Linked DNA regions of Caenorhabditis elegans. The protein of the gene in region 1 purifies or fractionates together with the protein of each later gene. This does not show direct contact. Each region holds a gene or a part of one and is shown in the gene's direction. Other genes may lie near its edges.

Region 1 (6,638 bases):
TATTATTTAACTCAAAAAGTTATTCAAAGCTTTAAAATAATATTTTCAATATTTTAAGCAAAGTTTTTATTAACGCATTCAATGGATAAAACGCGCATGAATGAAGCAGCATTTCTACGGAATACATTTCTCCAGTGTCGGTAGTGTCTCCAATTTAGAACTTTCCAAAGTTCATTCAACCATAAGCTAGTAATTTAATTTTTGTTTTGTTTTATTTATAAAGCACAAAGCTTATCAGAGTTGCGTTTTCTTGTTTAATCTGATGGAAAGTGTTGCAATATTTGTTGTGAAATCATTTGTTTTAGTTAAAAAAATATCAGTAAGAAAACTGATTATTCGAAATGGAGCATTTTAAAATTGTTAGGCGAATATTGAATTGTTGATTAAAATATATATCAAACTTTTAAAAATCGCGTTTGATGTTCATAATTTTTAGGCTGTAAATCTAATTTATGATTATCTCCCCTATTGTAGCACTTTAGGTGTTAGAAAATGGCAGTTCAGAGACAGTTCAACGTTTTTGCATCGAAATGTTGTGTAATGATAGTTTATATTGTCATCATCATTTGATCTTAGATATATGAACATTGCTCTCACTCTCTTTCTTTACTGTCTCCAGTGTGATGTCACAGAAGAACAGTTGACTTTCAATTGCACGTGGGAACTCTTGAAAAGCAAGTGCAACTCCTGTATGAAAGAATCAAGGAGCTCCTAGGAGTATCGAAACCGCCAAAGTTCACAGCTACACGTAACTAATCTCAATTCTTTTATGAGAACGACAAAACCTTATTAGCACTACTTTTGACTAGAAAATCTATATCTCTCTTTCCTTCTTTTTTTTTACAGAAAGTGCAATTTCGCTCCACCGCCGTACTAGCTTTTCTATTTAACCATCATAATCTTTCCTTTCTTCTGTTCTGTCTCTCATTCATCTCGATCCGAACGAATTTCTTCATTCTCTTATCTTATTTTCAAAAACAAGTTGTGTCGAGTCAATTCTTTTTTTTTTCAGAATGTTGTCATCGTCTGGACACGCAATTCGCCGCGGAATCACCACATCTGCTGCACTATCAAACAAACATGCTTTCATCGTCGGAGCCGCCCGTACACCTATTGGATCATTTCGTTCTTCTCTCTCTTCGGTAACTGCTCCAGAGCTCGCCTCGGTTGCCATCAAAGCAGCATTGGAGCGTGGAGCAGTGAAGCCGAGTTCAATTCAGGAGGCGAGTGTGTTCTTTGTTTGCATTTTTCTATACTAGTAATATCTGAAATTCTATATCACTTCCAAAAACTACCGATTTAATCTTAAAATGCCTCAATTTCAGGTGTTCCTTGGTCAAGTCTGTCAAGCAAATGCTGGTCAAGCTCCCGCTCGTCAAGCAGCTCTTGGAGCCGGACTCGATCTTTCGGTTGCTGTTACCACCGTCAATAAAGTGTGCTCTTCTGGGCTGAAAGCAATCATTCTTGCTGCCCAGCAAATTCAAACCGGTCATCAAGATTTTGCCATTGGCGGAGGAATGGAGAGCATGTCACAAGTACCATTTTATGTTCAAAGAGGAGAGATCCCATATGGTGGATTTCAAGTGATTGTGAGTTTAATTTATTTTTCTAAAAAATATTAAATTGTCTAAAAATAGTCTTTAAACTTCTTTAAAAGAAATCAATGCTCACATTTTCTTATTCAGGATGGAATCGTCAAAGACGGACTGACCGATGCTTATGATAAAGTTCACATGGGAAACTGCGGAGAGAAGACTTCAAAAGAAATGGGAATTACACGTAAAGACCAAGACGAATATGCTATCAACAGCTACAAAAAGTCAGCTAAAGCATGGGAGGTTTGTCAACTGATTGCTCTTTGTGCGTTTTATGATTCCATGTTGTTTAGAATGGAAATATCGGACCAGAAGTGGTGCCAGTGAACGTCAAATCAAAGAAGGGAGTCACGATTGTTGATAAAGATGAAGAGTTCACAAAAGTCAATTTCGACAAGTTCACCTCGCTGAGAACTGTTTTCCAGAAAGGTTTGTACTATTCTTATCGTGAAAATTGAAATCAACATAATATATTAAGACGGAACTATCACTGCTGCTAATGCTTCAACATTGAACGACGGTGCAGCTGCTGTCATTGTTGCCTCACAGGAAGCAGTTTCCGAGCAAAGCTTAAAGCCTCTGGCCCGAATTTTGGCTTATGGAGATGCCGCCACGCACCCACTCGATTTCGCTGTAGCACCAACTTTGATGTTCCCAAAAATTCTTGAAAGAGCAGGAGTGAAGCAATCAGATGTTGCTCAATGGGAAGTTAATGAAGCCTTCTCATGTGTTCCCCTTGCTTTCATCAAAAAACTAGGAGTCGATCCATCCCTTGTGAACCCACATGGAGGAGCTGTTTCAATTGGTCACCCCATCGGGTATGTTGCCATATCAGTTGACCGTTCTTTCCGCATTCTTATCGTAAATTTGTTATCGATTATTTTTCTTTCAGAATGTCCGGAGCCCGCCTCATCACTCATCTTGTGCACACACTCAAAAGTGGCCAAATCGGAGTTGCTGCCATTTGCAATGGAGGTGGTGGCTCAAGTGGAATGGTTATCCAGAAATTATAGATTTATAATTTAACTTTTTTCGTTTAAAGTTTGTTACCTTTTTTCACGATTAGCTTGTATTTATGTATTTTTCGCTCATATCGAAACTCCGGTAAATAGATTCATTTATTATTTTGATTATCTACTTCTCTTTCATTGGTTTCAAACCAATTTCAGTTATCTTTTTTTATTCGTATGCGATTTTTCTAATAATCCAAAGTTCAGACAGTCTATCGCAATGTCGGATAAAAAAGTTTTCATTCTGAGTGGAGCTCGCACTCCCATCGGAGCTTACCGAGGATCTTTCGCTAACTTTGGCGCAGTTGAGCTCGGAACGGTCGCTGCAAAGGCAGCAATTGAACGATCAGGTTAAATTACTGATAATGAAATTTTGAAACAAATATTAAATATTTTTAGGAGTTGCTCCGGAGAAAATCGAAGAAGTAATTGGTGGATGCGTACTTCCGGCCGGTCTAGGACAAAATGTGACCCGACAGATCTCTTTGTCGGCTGGTCTTCCAGTAACAACGCAAGCTGTTACGGTGAACAAGGTTTGCTCTTCTTCGATGAAAGCCTTGGTGACAGCAGCTGTGGAAATCAAAGCAGGATATTATGACACTATTCTTGTTGTTGGAACTGAAAATATGAGTCAAGTTCCATTTTACGTGCCGAGAGGAGAAATTCCATTTGGAGGAATCCAGATGACAGATGGAATCTCGAAGGATGGACTTGAAGATATTAAAGAGAAAGGTCCAATGGGATTATGTGCTGAGAAGACTGTAAAAGATTATGGAATTACTAGAGAAGAACAAGATGCATATGCTATTGAAAGTTATAAAAAAGCTTCAAATGCATGGAGTTCTGAAAAGTTTTCGGAAGAAGTGGTACCAGTTAGTGTTAAGACTTCGAGATCGGAAGTAGTGATCACTGAAGATGAGGAGTATAAGAAACTGATCGAGTCAAAGGTATGCAGAAAGAAAATGTTTATCAAAAATATTAAACTTATTTAGGTTTCCTCTTTGAAACCAGTCTTCGTTCGTGACGGCACTGGAACCATCACACCGGCCAATGCATCTTCGCTTAATGATGGAGCTGTCGCAACTGTCGTTGTCGGAGAGAATGCTCTTCCACAAGGAGCTCATCCACTTGCTGAACTCGTGGCATTTGCTGAAGCTGGAAGAGCTCCCATTGATTTCACCGTGGCACCAGTGGACGCCGTTCGTCTTCTTCTCAAAAAAAGCGGGCTCCAAGTTTCAGACATTGCATTGTGGGAGCTCAACGAAGCATTTGCCGTCACTGTTCTTGCTTTCATCAAAGAACTTAATATTGAGCCAAGTGTTGTTAATGTAAAAGGAGGTGCAGTAGCGATTGGGCATCCACTTGGGTAAGTTTTTTTGTTGATTCAAACTTCAGTGAGCGTTTTCGGAAAAATTAGAATGTGTACAGAGAAAATTCTGATAGCAAAAAAACATTCTAAAACACAAAAACAAAACATACAAATTTTAAAGTAAACTTTAAGTCCGAACAAACCTATATTAATTTTAATAATTTTCAGAATGTCTGGTCTCCGAATCGTCAACTCCCTTGCATATTCTTTAGCTCCAGGACAGCTCGGTGTAGCTGCAATTTGCAACGGAGGAGGAGAAGCCACAGCAGTGCTCATCAAAAAACTGTAATATGAACCTCTTGCCTAAATGTTTTCTGGTCTTCTATTCATCATTCCTTGATTCACTTTTACAACAAATTTCGATTACGTATTTATAAATAGTTAAGGTTCTTGTCACATAAATGTTTATTCTCAAATGGTGCATACGTGTTATTGATTGGGAAATGAATTAAGGTTAATATGTACATTATCAGGAATGGTTTTGAGCCATCTCAAAAGAGATATACTGGAAAAATCGGAAAAGCATTTTTCTTTTGAGATATATCATTCATTCACGTCTTCAAGGCAAAACATATAAGGGGAGATCGTATACAAATAATCACAGGGAAGAATTGGTGGATGATAAAATGATCCCATAAACCATTATTAGTTTGAGAGATCAAGTTGGGGGAATGAGAATATTAAGGGGGGAAGAATTTAACCGGGAAGCAAACATAGAGCGATTTAATTTTTCCGGGATTTGCTTTGCTAGGCGGTTCCAGGTGGCGAGGTTGGCTCTGAGGAATCCTTTGTTTGTTTCGCCAACAGATCTGAGCATGTAGGGGTATCTTGGAGTTACAGCTTTCTTCACCGACGATGACACATTTGGGTAGTGGAAGTTTCCAGTTATGATGTTGTGGTAGGTGCGAAGGATCTGCAAGACCCGCCTATATTGCACTGACTTCAAATTGGCTTGGGCCAAACGATCCTCGTATGAAGAATACTTTATGTTGCAGCGTTGGAAGACGAGCCTGGTGAAGAAATGAGATGAATCAATAAAGGCTATGAACGGGTAACTCAATAAAGTATCTTCCTGGACTGGGATGATTCCGAGAAAACAATCACAAACGATACGGTAATGAATAGGAATCCATTGATTTCATTTTATCTGTAATTTCAGTGTCTGACAAGAGATCGTCGTTTCGGAATTATTACAGGCCCAAATATGGCTGGAAAGTCAACATATCTGAAACAAGCTGCCCAACTAGCAATCATGGCATAGGTAGGATGCTTCATTCCAGCAAACTATGCTTCGTTGCCAAGTAACCTAAAAGTTTTGATTTGCTATTTTCTATCGTCGAATTAATTTCAGTTTTTAATCGTATCTTCTCCAGAATGGGTCATAACGACGAGTTGATCAGAAATAAGTCTGCATTTGCATCTGAAATGTCAGATGCAGCTGCAATCGTACAGTATGCCGATAAAAACTCACTTGTAGTTCTTGATGAGCTAGCACGAAGCACATCGACTGAAGAAGGAATCGCCATCACCTATGCGATTTGTGAGAAGGTTCTAAAGTTACATGTGCTTGTAAAAACAAAAAAACGAATTGTAAATTTTTATTTTCAGAGCTATACCTTCCTGGCTACACATTTTCTCGATATTGCAGCTCTCGCCAACTATTCAAATGCAATTGACAAGTGATTCTACAACTCTACAACTATTTCTTTCGAAACTTCTTTCTTTCAGTTACCACTTTCTTCCACAAATTGATGACAATTCGACGAAAAAGCACAAGTTGTTACGTGGATAATATAGAGACCATTATACGGTATGAATAATTCATTATTAGCAGAAAAAGTAAATGATAGACCGTAGAAAAGTGTGAGATGGGAAATTTGGAATCAATAAAGGCTATGAACGGGTAACTCAATAAACTATCTGTTTGTGAAAGCTTGTAGAAAATAAACGAGTTGGACCCGATATAAAAAAGTATTGAGAAATTGGATCTTCTAGAAAGAATCTTCGGATGATGCGTAGATCTTCTGAATTAATGAGGAATGCTTGTAAAATTGATAACGACTGCGCTGGAATCGGCGGTTTTCGAAATCTCGGCTGAAATCCTCATTGAAGGACAACTGGCTCGACGGCTTCATTGGGCAGTACCTGAAATGCTCACGTTAGAAATATATTGAATATACAGTGTGGGAAAGTTCTATAGGACCCCCCCTAATTTGAAGGTTTGAGGAACTTCCGAAAATTTTTTCGAAAAACTGCTAATGCCGTTCGTTTTTAAATTGAAAAAAACCTATATAAATTTTTTTCCAGAAGTTTATCTCAAAAACTGAGGTCGCGCTGGAAAAAACGTCAAAATCCAGTGTGAAACTTCTATAGGACCCCCCGTTTTTTTTCACGATTTTTACTAAAATCAACAGATTTTGGAATTTTTGACAAAGCTCAAATCAAGTTTGAGTTAGAAATGAGTTCATATAAGCAGTTTTGACTTTAAAAAATTAATACGAAATGTTCTCGTGGGATCTCCAGACTGGTTCTGATTCTTCCGATCTTTGATGTTCAAGTCTGTTTCAAGCTTCCTGGTGCTCTCGGTAATGCCAAAACTTGATAAACTCTCTTTAACAAGTTCCTACTAAAATTCCTAGCACGCACTTTAGATGTTTCGACTGT
Region 2 (10,418 bases), on another chromosome or scaffold:
TTTTTCAAAAAAAAATTGTATTTTGTAGTCGGAAAAATTATTTTTAAAACTTTAATTTTTTTTTGGTTTCAGAGCTCAAAAAAGTTTTTTTTTTTGTTTTTTTCCCGTAATTTTTTTTGAAGCAAATCTAGTGATGAACTAAACCAAAAAAAGTTAAAAGTAAACTTTTATAAAAGAAAGTTGAAAAGCTAAAAGACAACCAAAATGAGAAATACGATATTTCACTTGTACATAACAATTTGCTGAAACTGCAATTAAATTTTATAGTCTCACGGCCAATTTGACCCGAATTTGCAATTTTGAGCTGGAAGTAATCCTGGTGGCCCGACTGTCTCAGTAAATTTCATCTTGTTCAGTTCAATTGTCCTCCACAGATTCACAAAATCTTGTGCATGTGGTTCGGGTGTTCCCGAAGAAACATAATTTTCTAGAGCTCTATCTTGTACTGGAGCTCCTCAGAATCCAAGTGGTCCAGCAGCACACCTCAAAAAATTTTTTTGGTATTCAAAAACTATTTTTCAACAGCCTACAATATAAAAGAAATAAATTTAACTTTTATATTCATTCACAGCATGGAGCATAGAACTGACAATGAATAAAGCAAAGAATCATGTTCACTTTCATAAGATCTAGTTGAAACTGTCAAATCCCACGCTTCTAGAATTCAAAATTATGCAATTTTATTATGCAAATTATATAGGTTTTTCGTAGATTTTTGTTTTTTGTCCAAATTATTAATGTACTGAGCATAAAGAAATTGCACTTGTACATAACAACTAGTTGAAACGGTTTTTTAAGTTTACAGTCTCACAGACAGTTTCAGCTGAATTCGCGATTCTGAGCTTGGTTTTCATTTCAAAATTCAATTTTTATTATTAGGGTTCATTCTGTTTTTTCGGGCAAAAAGGAGTTTTTCAAAAAATTGTATTTTGTAGTCGTAAAAATTAATTTAAAAGTTATAATTTTTTTTGGGTTCAGAGCTCAAAAAAAGTTTTTTTTGCCGTAATGAACTAAACGGAAAAAGTCTTAAAAACTTTTATAAAAGCTAGTTGAAACCTTAAAAAACGGTGCAAGAATTGAAAAAAAAAACTAATTTCATAGTTAAGATAGAAGTCGGGTTAGCAACCGAACAAAAAAAAGAAATTTCTTGTACATAAGCTGAAACGGTAATTTAATTTTTTTTTATTTTTAGGATGTTCCCGATGAAACATAATTTAGTGGAGCTCCGTCATGTTCTGGTAGTCCAGCAACATACCTAAAGTATTTTTTGTATTGTTTTTTGTTTTTGGACGAATTTTAATTTTCAGTCGGGGAGTTTAAAACAAAATTCGTAGTTTTTTTTTTTGGTTCTTTTACTAAGATTTTTACTAAATCAAAAACAAATGCCATTTTTATAAAAACTAATTGAAACTGTCAAATTGTAAAAATCTGTTTTTTTTTTCAAACATTGTGATTTAATTACAAACTTGCAGTGCCGTTTACATTCCATATTTGGATTGGATTAGAATTGGATCTTCCATAATAGGTAGGCGCGGTTTCAGGGACCTGACGCCTGCCTCGAATCGCATTTTTACGTTTTTTTCTCATTTCAATAATTTTGTTGAAAATCAAATTAAGATATGAAAAAACAAATAGTTCGTGTATGTTTTAGAATAAGGCGCGTATTGAGGCAAGAGGCAGGCGGAGATCGCCTTAAGGTCAGGCAGGTGGGAATTTGAACGCCTTCATGGAAACCTTAGTTTTTGTAATTAACAAGACATTTTGTAATTTACAGCAAATATCAGAAAAAGATTAATGAGAAATAAGAATGTTCACTAGTACATAGCAGCTAGTTGAAACTGCGATTTTATTTTATAGTCTCACGTTCAATTTGAGCCAAATTTGCGATTCTGAGCTTGAAGTAAAAATTGTGCAGGTGGTTTGGGTATACCGTGAGACTATCCAATAAATTTACAGTTTCAGCGTGTTGTACATAAGAACACGCTGAAACTGTAATTTAATTGGATAGTCTCACGGTCAATTTGACCCGTGTTTCGGGTGTTCCCGTAAGAAACATAATTTTCTAGAGCTCTATCTTGTACTGGAGCTCCTCAGAATCCTGGTGGTCCAGCAGCACACCTGGAGGACTAAAGTGCTGAACTGTTCTCTTAAATGTTCTGTTTTTTTTCGGGCCAAAAACCAAAAGAAAACTATATTTCAAAAAAAAAACTTTTTTATTTTTATTTTTGATCAAAAACTTTTTTTGGTAAGACCTTCCTCCTGTATTTTTTTTCAATTTCAAAAATTCTGCAAGAATTCAAAATGTTGTAATTTTAGTCGCTTCAGTGAGGAAATATAAAACTGCATCTACATAGCAACTAGCTGAAACTGTAATTTTTTATTTCATAGCCTCACGGTTAATTTCCACTAAATTCGCGTTAAATCCAATGTTCTATTTTATAATTTTTTATGGATGCTTTAAGCAAAATTTGGTATTTCTTTTCGAAATTCTTCGGACCAAAAAACAAACAAAAAACAGAAAAAACTGTTTTTCCAAAGATTTTAATTCGTTTTACAGTTTTAACTTACAAATGTGATGTAGGTAGTAAGCAACAAATAAATTGCAGTTTTATAACAACTAGTTGAAACGGTCAAATTTATAAGCTCTGAAAGTTGTGTTTCCAATAAAACTCTTAATATATATCACCGATTTATAACAACTAGCGGAAACAGTAACTAAAAAATTAATTTTATAAATAATTTTAAAGTCCCAATGTTCTATTTTCGAATTCTACCCAATCGCGAGATTCTGCATTCAGATCTTATCATCTTTCTCTTCCAAATACACACACACACACCTTGAAACTAACCAATAAAAATGCAATCATCCGACCGTTTCGTCGTCGTCAAGGATCGTAACCTGGAACCAGAAGACGAGAATCATCAAAACAGAGAATTTTATGGCGGTGATCTATTGGGCGGGAAGGAACATACCACGTGGGAGAAGGGGGAGGAGAAGTCGAACATTCACGAGAAATCTTTCATTGCTGATCAGAATAAGTTCGGTTTTGTTGGCAAATTTTGAGGTTAGTTTTTTGATGAGTGCCGAAATTTTACCGAAATTTGGAATTCGGCAATTGTCAATTTTATGAACTATACCAATAAATTGTATTAAAACTTCTAGAATGCTCTAGAAAAATCTGGAAACTACTAGAATTTTCTAGAACAAAACTGGAAACTTCTAGAAATTTCCAGAGAAATCTATAAACTTCTGTAATTTTCTAGAAAAATGTGGGAACTTTAAGAATTTTTTAGAAAAATCTGGTAACTTCTAGAATTTTCTAGAAATTTTTTTTTAAATTTTATTTTTTAAAAATTACTGTTTCATCACATTGAGAAAATGTTTTTACTGTTGATTTTTCTAATTTCGTATACTGTTGACTCGGTTTGTGAAGACTCAATTTTCCAGCATGAACATCCCATCTCTCTTCGTCGACCCATTCTCTCCGCTCCTCGAGCATCCAACGGAGCAACGTGCCAAGAATGTGGCTCACGCACCAAAGCGTCCGTGTAATCTTACACAGACAGAGAAAATGGTAATAAATTTATCTTTGAAAAGATAAAAAAAATGTACTGTTTCATTAAAAACGTTTAGGCACTTGACTTGGAATTTTTTCTTTTCAAATGAATTTTTTGAAACTGCAAAAACAGTTTCATTGTTTCATTGAGCGCTTTAAAGAAGACTGTGAAACATAATCTTTGACAAGTTGGCTGAAAATGAGCCTAAACTAACAAATTTTTTAGAAAAATTTGGCTAAACTCTGAAATTTTTTGCCTAGTTTTTAATAAAATTAGCTTTTTTTTGTTGCATCAAGAAGTTTAAATGCTACACTGACTAACTAATAGAACTTTTTACAAATTGAAATGCAATATTTGGAACAGTGAACATTTTTACCTTTAATTTTTCAAATCTACTCCTAATTATGGTAAACTATTTGCAATGAGATCAATGTTATAATTTATTGTTCCGACATCTCCCGGGTTGCACAGTGTTCTCTGTGCTCGGCGCAATTTGGGAGATACCAATTAATTGAATGAAGTTGTTGTGCCAATTCTAGTTCAGAAAAAAGTAAGAGAAGACTGTAACAAAATTTACAATTTTTTTGCAATTTTGGAGCAGTTTTTGAAGTCGGTAGGCTATGTAGTTTTCGAGATCAAGAACAATCAAGAAGATCAAGAATCAGATCAAATTTTAATTTAGGAGCTGAAAAGCTGTTGGCTATTAGTTACAAAAGTCTGTTTCACTTACTTGATAAAATACAAGTGGAATTCCAAAATTTATTGTTTCGAACTTCAATGCAGGTCCCAACCAGCTTCAACTATAAAATTCTTCCAGCTCGCCGTCCGCAATGCTCTCCGCTACATTCCAAAAGAGCATCACGTCCTTCTAGCCACCGAGTTCGCTGAAGAGCTCAACACCTATGGACACATCTATGGGTATCGGTTCATGCCAAACTTTGATCTATTCGCGCCGCCCGTCTCGGAGATCGGAGCTCATTGCGAACAAGCATCGGCTATCATTTTGATGATTCTAAACAATTTGGACAAGCGGGTTGCCCAGTTTCCACAGGAATTGGTGACTTATGGAGGAAATGGTCAAGTTTTTAGGTTAGCATGGGAATCTTTCTGAAATGCTTGAGAAATGATATTTCAGCAATTGGATCCAATTCCGTCTGGTTCTTCGTTACCTCTACACAATGACTGACCATCAAACTTTGGTGCTCTATTCCGGACACCCATTGGGCCTATTTCCATCAACCCCGGACTCGCCAAGAATGACTGTTACTAATGGAATGGTAGGCCTTTGGAAACTAGGATGCTTCGTACATTTTGACATTTCAGATGATCCCGAGCTACTCGACAAAGGAGCTGTACGACAAGTATTTTGCATTAGGAGTGACGCAGTACGGACAAATGACTGCTGGAAGTTTCTGTTATATTGGACCACAGGGAATTGTACACGGGACTACGGTAAGCCGTTAAATGGAGTTTGGCATTAAAACACCGTATTACCGTCAAATTTAATGAACACACTAAAACAGTCAAATTTATTTTGGAAAATGGGCAAAGCAGAAGGTTTTCAGTATACAACGGTTTTAGATGGAATTTCAAAGGCAAAAATTCAAGGATTTCAAGATTTTTGTTTTTTTTTCTGAATATGATTCTTGTCATTTATATAATCCAAACTGCACCAATGTAGTAGAGAAGTGACTCAAAGAAAACATGTTATTTCTAATAACTAACTCAGCCCTAAAATATACGGACACTGTGAAACATTAAATTTTTGTAAATTTTATTTTTTTTTTTAAATAGTTATATAATGAACCAAAGCTGAAGTTTTGGCATTAAACACCTTATTACTGCCAGAATATATGAACACACTGAAACAGTAAATTTTATTCTGGGATATGGGCTACACAGAAGGTTTTCAGTATACAACGGTTTCAGATAGTATTTGAATGATTTTTGTTAAGTTTTTGTGTATTATTCTAGTTATTTTATAATCCAAACTCCACCAAAGTAGTAGAGAAGTGGCGTCAAGAAAACTTGATATATTGCTTTAATTTATAGCGGTGTTCTCTTGAAAACCTTCCTAATAGCTAACTCTCTAAGTCCTAAAATATGTAGACACAATGAAACAATAAATTTCTGAAATTTGTAATTTTTTTTTCAAGAGTTACATAATGAACCAAAGCTGATAATATTTTGTCCCACTGAAAAAATTTACTTACTTCAACTAACCACAGTATTTATTAAAGAGTGATAATTTAACAAAAATTTAGTTCCAGACACTTAGAAGATGACAAAATTTTTGATTTTAGCTGAAAATGAGACCTTTTTTATCAGAACTTTGAACCGCCATAACTTTTTTTTTTGAGAAATTTTCAAAATGTCTCGTTACGAAATTCAGTAGTTTTTGGGGAATCTTGGGTCGGAAAAAGCAAAATCTCAGATTTCGGTACTCCACCTTAAATAGAGTCGAATAGCTATCTTACAAAGCCCTAAAATATGTAGAAACTGTGAAAAAATAAATTTTTGTAAATTTTATTTTTATTTTTTCAGTAGTTACATAATGAACCAGAACTGATAACATTTTTTTTTAATTTGAATTTCGTAATTTTCTTAAGGTTTTTCAAAATTGACTTATTAGAAGCAGAAAGTTGAAAGTCTTTTCACTTTATAATATTTTAAAGAAATCTAAATGATTCGAGACCAGATGCAACAGATTACAGCTTTTCTACCCATATAGAAAAATAGTGACGTCACTATATGAGTTTTTCTCGATCTATTCTTCTTGTCCGATTAATTTCATCACAACTCTCCTGAATTTCTGAACCCCCTGAAACAGTAAAAATTCTCCAGATCACAGTCCTCAACGCTGGTCGTCGTATGGGACTGGATTCCCTTGCTGGTAAGGTTTTCGTAACTGCAGGACTTGGAGGAATGAGTGGAGCTCAACCAAAAGCAGCTAAGATTGCTGGATGTATTGGAGTTATTGCGGAAATTAGTGATACTGCATTGTTGAAACGTCATCAACAGGGATGGTTGGATGTATATTCGAAGGATCTTGAGGAAATTGTGAATTGGATTAAAGAGTACAGAGAGAAAAAAGAGGCAATTAGTATTGGATATTTGGGGAATGTTGTTGACTTGTGGTGAGTTTTAGAAAATTTTACTGTTTCAGAAAGTTGTTAAATTTTTTTATGAAAGTGTGAAAGGCGATCTACGGAGCAAGAGGGAAAATAATTAAAGGAAACGAGAAAAGCGGAAAAAATTGTAATACAAATAATATATCTCATAGTTTCGGAACCAAGATTTTTTTTAAATTACAGAATTTTTTACAAAGATTTTTCACAATTAATAAACTTGGTAAAACATTATTCACAAAAATTCTAGACAAAAAACTATGAGTTTTCAAAATTCCAGGGAACGGCTCGCCGAGGAACCGGAATGTCTTGTAGAACTGGGAAGTGACCAAACTTCTCTCCACAATCCATTCCTTGGAGGTTTTTACCCTGCTGGACTCACTTTTGAACAATCCAATCAAATGATGACTTCTGATCCTGTAAAATTCAAAAAACTTGTTCAAAACTCTTTAATCCGCCAAATCGCCGCCATCGACAAGATTGCTGCAAAGGGAATGTACTTCTGGGATTACGGTAATGCTTTCCTTTTGGAATGCCAGAGAGCTGGAGCCAATTTGCTCAGAGAGGATGCTCAGGATGATAAATCGTTTAGATATCCAAGTTATATGCAGGATATTATGGGGTAATAATTATTTGAAAAGAGTACAATTTAAATAAAATAAATTCTGTTTCAGAGACATCTTTTCAATGGGATTTGGACCATTCCGATGGGTTTGTACTTCTGGAAAGCCGGAAGATTTGAGATTGACTGATCAGACAGCATGCAAGATTATTGATGAGTTGAAGGATACTGATGGTGAGTGCTTTTATGTTGTAACAAAAAAATCGACTGTTTCACTATGGCTATATGTATGTTCACTATTTTGAGAAATTTGATGGGTTCAGTGTGTGTATCTTTGAAATTTAGTACTAATCTCATAAAATTGAGCATTTGTTGGCGAGAAATCATATATATGCTGTTTCATATTGTCCATAAAACTGCCGACGAATTTTGACTTTAATTTTTAATATTTGTTAGGAAATTTAGGGATGTGAAGCTGTTGAAAAAAAAAAAGAAAAACGAATAGCCAGTGTAATATTCTTGAAACCGTAAATAACTACTAAATAAAATAGCGTACTGTTTCGAGAAGTTTATATAATTTTCGCTTTTTGAAAGAGGTTATTCCGGAAATATTGCTAAAAAAAAGCAGAAAACTTCTACAATTTCGCATAGTCATTAAAGTATGTTCGATTATTTTATTTTATTAATTTTGCTGAATTAAAAAATAACATATTAAAGGTGGAGTACCGAAATTAGTGACTCTGTTTTCTTAGACCAAAATGAGTCCAAACCTACCGAATTTTGTAATGAGACGTTCTGAAAATTTCTCAAAAAAAAAAGTTATGACGGTTCAAAGTTTTAGAAAATAAGGCCCATTTTCAGCTAAAATCAAAATTTTTTCCAACTTCTCGGTGTCGCAACGTCTGGAATTGAATTTTCATTTATTCATCACTTTTTAATAAATATTGTGGTCATTGATTGGGCGTTTATTCGTTGATTTAACTACATTTATGGTCTTTGGGGCACAAATAAAAGTTACATTTTGTGCCTCACTGACCATAAATGTACTTAAATCAACGAATAAACGCCCAATCAAAGGCCACATTATTTATTAAAAAGAGATGAATAAATAAAAATTCAATTCCAAACGTTGCAACACCGAGAAATTAGATAAAATTTCGATTTTAGCTGAAAATGGGCCTTATTTTCTAAAACTTTGAACCTTCATAACTTTTTTTAAAGAAATTTTCAGAACGTCTCATCACAAAATTCGGTAGTTTTGGGCTCATTTTGTTCTAAAAAAACAGAGTCTCTAATTTCGGTACTCCACCTTTAAGAGTAGAAACATGTAGTTTTAGGGGAACTCATCAGGTTATTTATCAAATTTATGCTTGGAAAAGTTGAAAGTCTACCGAAAATGTCTTTTCCGCTGAAAAAAATTAACATCGTTCCCGGAAACCCGGGATATGTCGTACCATGATGAACAATTCACAAAGTGTCGACCGCAAAGCAAGTATACCAAAACGAGAGATAGGAGATGCGGTTTGAAAACAAGTTGAATTTGAGAATTTTTCACTGTTTCCAACTTTGCATTTTAATTTGTAACGTATTGTATTAGACAATTTGTAAAAAATTATGTTTTTTATTATCTTCAAAATACTATGATCCTGAATGAATTATTTGAAATGGGTACCCTTAACTTTAACAAATATTCGCTCTTAAAAATTCTGAGAAAATTTGCAAAAAATCACCACGTCTTCTTCTTGAATGGGTACCACTGAAAATTAATTGGGTTGTTATTTTTATTCCGAAATATACTCACACTGCTGCCAAGTTTTGAAACTTTCTGTTTCTAGCAGAGACATTGATTTTTTCATTTTGAGAACCAAAAATCGAATCATTATTTTTTGCTAGTTTAATAAGGCTGAGCAAATCAAACCACCAACTCCAAATTTCAAAGCACATTTATCATGTTTCATAGACTCTGTTAAACCAACGTTTCAGTCCCCGAATACGTGAAACAGCAATATTTGGACAACAAGAAATGGATAGAAGAAGCCGAGAAAAATAAGCTCGTCGTTGGCTCACAGGCACGGATTCTATATTCGGATCGTGCTGGAAGAGTTGCATTGGCTTCTGCATTCAATGAGCTCGTGAAATCTGGAAAAGTGTCGGCTGCAATTGTAATTTCAAGAGATCATCATGATGTTTCTGGAACTGATTCTCCATTCCGTGAGACTTCAAATGTTTATGATGGAAGTGCTTTTACAGCTGATATGGCTGTACAGAATTGTATTGGTAAGTGGATAGGGGCTACATATTTAAAAAAAAACAACAATTTATAATTTTTCAAAAATTTCACTGTTTCGCATTGTTCACAAAAATGAAATCAATATTGAGTAAAACTGATCCACAATGACTGTTTCCTTTCCATTTCAGGTGACTCATTCCGTGGTGCTACATGGGTTGCCCTTCACAATGGTGGAGGTGTTGGATGGGGTGACGTCATCAATGGAGGTTTCGGTATTGTTCTTGATGGCTCAAGTGATGCTGCCCGCCGAGCTGAAGGAATGCTCAATTGGGATGTACCTAATGGAGTTACTCGTCGTTCTTGGTCTGGAAATGCAAAGGCTCAGGAAGCAATTCAACGTGCTGAAAAACAAGTTGATGGGCTTAGAGTTACATTGCCAGTGGAAGCTGATGAGGAATTGTTGAAGAAGTTGAAATTTTGAATTTTTACTTTGATAAATTGAATTTCTGAAATTAATTTTTAATTTTAAAAAATACTTCGTTCCAATAAAAGTTTATTATTGTGCTTCCTTTTTGCCCAAGTAATGACCGATTTTCAGAGCAAAAGATTACTGTTTCATTTAAGTTATAATTCTGTTATGTCATACCGGTACCAGTTTGGTTGTACCTTTAAAACTTTGGCACACATTTAATTATTTCAAACTTTAAAAAATGTGAGTGATGTTTCAAGTAGCCCATATAGGCAAGACTGCTGGATTGGACGTGATTTGTTTTTTTTTTCTAAAAACCCTCTCTTTAATATGTACTTATCTCTGATTTGTGTTTTCACGGATTGATTTATTACAGTGTCGAGTATACACAGTAAAATTCACTGTTGATAAAATATAGAACTTCGATATTCAACAATTTTCAGGTGGTGTATATATATTTTTCCACATTGC
Region 3 (6,928 bases), on another chromosome or scaffold:
ATTGCTCTACTGCAAGGATCCGGAGAAGGCCGCCAACTGCGATGTCCGAGCCCTCCTAGTCCATGCAAAACGGGCCACACCAATTGTGACTGCGGTCATCAAGATGCCCTTCAGCGAATTTCCACTTGATTAGTTCCAGTTTTCCCCTTATTGGCTCCGATTTGTGTGCTCGCTGAGCCCAGAATCATGCCATGATGTGTTGGTGGTGGTGTGCTCCTTATCACTGAACTCTTATCAATTTTTCTATTTTTCCGCTATACATATAAAAATATTGAATAAACCAGACTCCGGCGCGGACAACGACTGGCACCGTTTTAACTATTTTTTGAAGTAGATGTTTTTTTAACGTTCAACAATTCTTACAACAGACAAAAGAAACTTTGAAAATTAACAAATCATTGAGTTATACCAAATAGTTATTCATTCAGAAAAAAAATCAATTAGGCTTATTGTGAAACTTTCGGAAATCCAGATTTCTGTGAAAATTTTCGGAGAAAATTGAAGTTTCAGAAAAAACCCTTATAGTACTACCATATCTCCCACTAACCCCTAAGCAATAACCCTTCAAAAGACGAAAAGTCGATTTTTCTACAACTACAGTAACCCTATCTTATACCTACAGTACCCTACAGTACCACTACAGTACCTTGATCATATCCCCCCACCAACTCCCAACCCAATACCTCTTCAAAAGCTAAAAACTCATATTTTGCCAAACTACAGTAATCCTACAGTACTCCTACAGTATCCTTACAGTACTACTACAGAACCCTGACCATATCCCCTTACTAACTTTAAGTCAATATTCCTTAAAAAGATAGAAAGTCAATTTTTCTACAACTACAGTAACCCTGCCGTATACCTACAGTACCCATACATTACTACTACAGTACCTCGACTACGACCATCGGACCAATATCCCTTCAAAAGATAGAAAACCAATTTTTCCAAAACTACAGTAATCCTACAGTACTCCTACAGTACCCCTACAGTACTACAGTACCCTGACCATATTCCCCTACTAACATCATGTCAATAATTCCCAAAAGGGCAAAATATCAAATTTCCCAAACTACAGTAACCCTACCGTATACCCCTACAGTACTACTACAGTACCCTGACCATATCCCTTTACTAACTTCAAATCAATAATCCTAAAAAATACACAAAGCCAATTTTTCTATAACTACAGTAACCCTATCTTATACCTACAATACCCCTACAGTACTACTACAGTACCCTGATCATATCCCCCACCAACTCCAAACCCAATACCTCTGCAAAAGCTAAAAACTCATATTTTGCTAAACTACAGCAACCCTACCGTATACCCCTACAGTACCACTACAGTACTACTACAGTGCCCTGATCATATCCCCCTACTAACTTCAAGTCAATATCCCTTCAAAAGACGAACAGTAATTTTTTTTTTTCCATAACTACAGTAATCCTACAGTACTCCTACTGTACCCCTACAGTACTACTACAGTACCCTGCTCATATCCCCCCCCCCCCCCCACTCACTCCAAACCATCATCCCTTCGAAAGACAGAAAGCCAATTTTTCCAAAACTACAGTAATCCTACAGTACTACTACAGTACCCTGACTATATCCCCCGTTTTTTGTCCAATTTCACAAAGCCAAAAGTGTTGTCAATTTCCAATTCCACTTTTTATTCCAGATGATTACCCTCTCACGTACCGGAGCCGCCGAAAACGTTGCACTGATCACTCTGAACCGCCCGAGTGCTCTGAATGCTCTCTGCCGTGAGCTTATGCTGGAATTGTCTGAAAATCTGCTGAAAGTGGAGAAGGATCAGTCGTACCATGTGATTGTGCTCACTGGAAGTGAGAAGGCATTCGCTGCCGGAGCCGATATCAAGGAGATGGCCAAGTTGGAGTTTGCAGATGTTTTTGAGAATGAGTGAGTTTTGGTGTAGGCGCCTGCCTGCCTACGTGCCTACATGGTGTCTATTTGTCTTGAGGGTAGGCAGGCAGGCATGTAGGTAGGCACGCAGTCAAGTACAAAGACCGGAAGATAGTCAGGTAGGCCGGTAGGCATAATACAAATATCTAGGCAGATGCATGTAAGCATGTAAGCAGATATGATTATGCGGTAGGGACCAAGGTAGGCACGTAGACTCGTAGGTAGGCGTGCATGCAGGTAGGTAGGTAGGTAGCCAGGTATATAGGGTAACAAGCAGGCAGGTAGGCACATTTAGGCAGGCACACTGAAGACAGGGCCGGTAGAGATGGCTGAGCAAAAATCGTGTAGGTAGGCATGCATTAGATAAGCGTGAGGTAGGTAGGCATGCTTGCAGGTAGGTAAGTATGTAGGTACGTAGGAAGGCAGACAGATGTAAGTTGATAGGCACGTAGGCAGGTAGGTTTGAAGGAGGCAGGCACAAACTAGGCATCTAGGCATGGAGAAGGCACAAAGGCAGGCAGACATTAGGCAGGTATATGGACGTGTGGACAGCGAGCATGAGGCCCGCATCAACCTAGGTAGGCAGACGTATAGTAAGCATGTAGGCAGGTAGGCACAAGCTAGGCATCTAGGCAGACAGGCAGGCACAAAACATACCTAATTTTCAGCTATTTCACGAACTGGGACACCTTATCACACATCACAAAACCTGTGATCGCCGCTGTCAACGGATTTGCCTTAGGCGGAGGCACGGAACTTGCCTTAATGTGTGATATAGTATATGCTGGAGAGAATGCAATATTCGGCCAACCGGAAATCACCATCGGAACCATCCCCGGATTAGGTGGTACCCAACGATGGCCCCGGTATGTGAGCAAGTCAGTTGCCATGGAAATATGCCTATCAGGCGACCGACTAGGCGCTCAGGAGGCGAAGGAAGACGGCCTGGTGAGCAAGGTGTTCCCGGTGCAGCAGTTGGTTGGGGAGGCTGTTCTGTTGGCTGATAGGATCGCTAAGAATTCTCCTCTTATTGTGAAAACTGTCAAGGTACGTTTTCGGGAATGCCTACGCCTGCTTACCTGCCTATTAGGCATGGAATAGGCACGTAGGCAGGCAAGATGTAGGCACGATGTAGGGCCGATGTAAGCACATAATCATAAGGTAGGCACAAATTAGGTATGTAGGTAGGTGTAAACTTGGTAGGCATTAGGTAGGCAGGCAAGCTAGAAGAAAATAAAAGAATAGGTAGGCATGAAATAGGCACGCGGGCAGGCATATTTTAGGTAGGTATGCGGTAGGCAGGCAGATAGGGAGACATAAATAAGGTAGCTATGTAGGTAGGTAGAAATGAGCACCTAGGAGTAAGGCAGGTAGGTAGGCAGAGGCATAACATAGGTGTGTAGGCATGAAGTAGGAGACAGCCATGTAGGCAGCTAGGCACGTAGGCAAGAAGGAATGCATGTAGGCACCTAGTCATAAGGTAGGCAAGAGGCAGGCAGGTAGTCGTAAAATATGTAGGCATGAGGAAAACAAGTAGCTAGGCAGTCAGGCATAAAATAGGTAGGTAGGTATGAGGTAGGCGCCTAGGCATGAAGTAGACTGGTAGGCATAAGGCAGGCAGGATCGTAGGCAGCAAAAAGGCTGTGAATAGTCAGTGAATAGGCAGGTAAGCAGGTATGAGCTAGGGGCCTAGGTATGTGGTAGACATGTAGGCATGAGGTAGGCACATAGGCAGACATTATATTCCCAATTTCTTGCAGAGATCCCTAAACTCGGCCTACCAAACCAGCCTAAATCAGGGCCTTGAAATGGAAAAGCAGTTGTTCCAGTCGACCTTCGCCACCAATGACCGCCGGGAAGGAATGTCAGCTTTCGCAGAGAAACGGGCTCCCAAATGGACTTCAAGTTGAAAAAAAAAAACGTTTTTTTTTTCTAAAAATAAATTAATTTCATTAACTCTTTGAAGGAACTTTGGGGTGGTTTTTGGGGGAGAAAAAAAGGGAAAAAACACACAAAAACACAATAAATTATCCCGAAATGTAAAGCAAAGACACTAGAAAAAAAGGGGAAAAATGACTATAAATAAGTGAATTTCAGAAGAAAAAAAATACTACTGGAATAAATTAATGATGATGTCCGCTGTGATCGTCGTGTGAATGCCCGTGGTGATGTGAATGATCATGCTTCTTCTCTCTTATCACACTTCCGCGGACTACCTGAAATTGGAGAAAATTTGAATGTTTACCCTTTTTTTCAATTAAAAATGCTCAACATTTGAGAAAATTTCATAAATTTCAGGAACAATTTTTTAACAATTTTTTTCAGAATTTTAGCATTATTTTTTAAATAACGATTTTTTTTTATTTCTGAAATTTCAACTTTCTCTCATTTTTATAGTCGAAAATTAACTGAAAATTCCGAAAAAAATTAAAATTAATTTTTAAAAATTACGATTTTTTTATTCAGAAAATGTTTTATTTGACGAAATTTAATAATATTTCTAAAAACTGCAAATTTCAGATTTTTGTTGAAAATTGGAAAAAAAATTCATTTGGAGCATTTTTTGCCGTTTTTATATTTTCGATAGTAATAAAGTAATTAAAAATTTCTGAAATTGGAAAAATCTACAATTTCAGATATTTTTAATACTTTATATATTATTACTATCGAAAATATAAAAATGGCAAAAAATGCTCCAAATTATTTTTTTTCGAATGAAAAAATTCAACAAAAAAATCAGAAATTTGTAGTTTTTAGAAATATTATTAAATTTAATCAAATAAAACATTTCCTGAAAAAAAACAACTTTTTTTTTGAAAAATTGTCATTTTTAAAGATATTTTGTCCTCTAAGCAACAAAGCATCCCGTACCGTATAACCAGCTTTATATCCAGGACACACTTGTTGTATCCTGTGTGCAAATGTCTTTTTCTCAACTTGTACAGTTGAGTGGGTGGCTCCAGTGCTCTTCAGGATATTCGAGACACGGTGTCGAATCATTTGTGCATTCGCTTCTTCTTTCACTTGAACGTGTACACTTGCCACGTTGATATCCGATTTGTGCTGCCACATGTGTGCATTTGAATACGATTCTACGTGCTCGATCTGTGCAAAAATTAAGGGGTTTTTTTTCAGATATTTAAATTTTTTGTTCAGAAGCTCAGAAAGTTTCTTAAAATTTCCAACAGCTTTCTAGAACGTTTCAGAAATTTTCGGACAGTTCTGAAGGAAATTCAGAAAATTCTTGAATTTTTTCAAAAAGTTGCAGAAATTTCCACGATGTTTTTTAGGAACTCGCAGAAACTAAAAAAAACAATATTTCTAGAACTACAGTACCCCTACAGTACCACATACATAACGATAACAAATGCAGTACCTTCATAGTACCAATACACTACTTCTACAGTACCCCTACAGTAGTAATGCCAGAGACTGTTGGAGTACTGTAAGGATATTGTTACTTATGGGGATATTTTAGGAATATTGTATTGGTACTGTAATAGTATTATAGGGGTATCATAAGAATACTCTACTGTTGAAATTAATTCATCGATCCTTGAATTTTGCGAACATTTTTGTCACACAGACAGTGGGGCGGAGCGTAACTTTCGCAATACTGCCGCACGGTGTTTTTGTACGCCTCTTTTCTAATGATTTTGATTTTTTCAATAAAGTTTCAATTTTATTTGTCTTTCTTCGTTTGTTTTTTTTTCGAATGAGAACGTTATCCAAATCGAAAAAACGAAAAGACAAGTAAAATTGAAACTTTATTCGAAAAAATCAACAAGAAAATCATTGGAAAAGAGGCGTACAAAAACACCGTGCGGCAGTATTGCGAAAGTTACGCTCCGCCCCACTTTCTGTGCGACAAAAATTTTTGCGAAATTCAAGGATCGATGAATTAATTTCAACAGTACAGTATTCTTATGATACCCCTATAATACTATTACAGCACCAATGCAGTATTCCTAAAATATCCCCATAAGTAATAATATCCTTACAGTACTCCCACAGTCTCTGGCAGTACCAATACAGTATTCCTACAGTACTCCGTCAGTATTAATACAGTACTCCTACGATACCCCTATAATACTATTACAGTATTCCTACAGTATTCCTACGATATCCCTACAGTATCAATACAGTATCCGTACAGTAGCCCATACATAACCATAACAAATTATGTATTCCAACAATATCACTACAAAACTCCTACAGTAATCCTACACAACCAACGCAGTAACCCTCCTACAGTACCCCTACAGTACCAACAAAATATTCCTACAGCCCCCCTATAGTTACAGCAACCCTACAGTAATCCTACAACACCCTACAGTACTCCTATAGTACCCCTACAGTACCAATTTCCAAAAAAAAAAACAATGATATACCTCCAAAATCTCATTAATATGATACTCGAACTCCTCTTCCTCCGGAACATCTTGCAACAACGTACTAATCGATGAAACCAACAATGGATACACTGATCCAATGATCAGAAGTGATAAGATCAACGAACACAACGGATCAACCCAAACCCATCCGAACCATTGAATAAGTAACGTCGAAATGATCACAAATACAGAACCAAGTGTATCGGCAAGAACATGAAGGAATACACCCTGCATATTCGCATTTCCTCCTCCACCATGAGAGTGTCCATGACTACCACCTCCACCATGGGAATGACCATGACTCGATCCACCACCATGAGAATGTCCGTGTTCTCCGAGAGAATACATTCCGAATAGATTCACGATAAGTCCGGAAATTGCGACGAATAAAAGACGATCAGTGTTGATGTTTGGTGGATCGAAGAGTCGTTCGAGTGCTTCAATAAGGATGAACAACGCGATAACACATAGGAATAGGGCATTGATGAAGCCGGAGAGAATCTGCATCAAAAAAAAATTATATAGTTAGTTATCAAAATTTGATAGAAATTGTGTATTTTACACTAATATTTGTAGGTGACTTTTGCACCACTTTTGCAGTGAAAGT

The links.
Region 2: the proteins of T02G5.7 (region 1) and uroc-1 fractionate together in Caenorhabditis elegans (co-fractionation; one large-scale study listed by BioGRID). This does not show direct contact.
Region 3: the proteins of T02G5.7 (region 1) and ech-7 fractionate together in Caenorhabditis elegans (co-fractionation; one large-scale study listed by BioGRID). This does not show direct contact.

What each region holds. Positions count from the first base shown.
Region 1 is NC_003280.10:7,072,802-7,079,439, forward strand, and holds T02G5.7 (Acetyl-CoA C-acetyltransferase), read left to right. Parts: upstream 1-2,812; 5' UTR 2,813-2,825; coding exon 2,826-2,955; intron 2,956-3,004; coding exon 3,005-3,552; intron 3,553-3,597; coding exon 3,598-3,971; intron 3,972-4,142; coding exon 4,143-4,263; 3' UTR 4,264-4,387; downstream 4,388-6,638. Other genes in the region: kat-1 (Acetyl-CoA acetyltransferase homolog, mitochondrial), read left to right, coding at 1,014-1,223, 1,326-1,589, 1,686-1,838, 1,889-2,024, 2,074-2,413, 2,488-2,608.
Region 2 is NC_003282.8:16,535,354-16,545,771, reverse strand, and holds uroc-1 (putative urocanate hydratase), read left to right. Parts: upstream 1-3,022; 5' UTR 3,023-3,065; intron 3,066-3,404; exon of another isoform or gene 3,405-3,425; intron 3,426-3,448; 5' UTR 3,449-3,449; coding exon 3,450-3,575; intron 3,576-3,853; exon of another isoform or gene 3,854-3,878; intron 3,879-4,318; exon of another isoform or gene 4,319-4,345; intron 4,346-4,375; coding exon 4,376-4,647; intron 4,648-4,693; coding exon 4,694-4,835; intron 4,836-4,881; coding exon 4,882-5,010; intron 5,011-5,014; exon of another isoform or gene 5,015-5,035; intron 5,036-5,046; exon of another isoform or gene 5,047-5,067; intron 5,068-5,363; exon of another isoform or gene 5,364-5,384; intron 5,385-5,614; exon of another isoform or gene 5,615-5,635; intron 5,636-6,001; exon of another isoform or gene 6,002-6,022; intron 6,023-6,321; exon of another isoform or gene 6,322-6,342; intron 6,343-6,402; coding exon 6,403-6,695; intron 6,696-6,762; exon of another isoform or gene 6,763-6,783; intron 6,784-6,966; coding exon 6,967-7,308; intron 7,309-7,360; coding exon 7,361-7,482; intron 7,483-7,562; exon of another isoform or gene 7,563-7,583; intron 7,584-7,687; and 17 more.
Region 3 is NC_003279.8:14,364,528-14,371,455, reverse strand, and holds ech-7 (putative enoyl-CoA hydratase, mitochondrial), read left to right. Parts: upstream 1-1,682; coding exon 1,683-1,924; intron 1,925-2,595; coding exon 2,596-2,974; intron 2,975-2,982; exon of another isoform or gene 2,983-3,059; intron 3,060-3,687; coding exon 3,688-3,837; 3' UTR 3,838-3,840; downstream 3,841-6,928. Other genes in the region: bbs-1 (BBSome complex member BBS1), read left to right, coding at 1-133; slc-30A5 (Proton-coupled zinc antiporter SLC30A5), read right to left, coding at 4,051-4,143, 4,799-5,032, 6,319-6,822.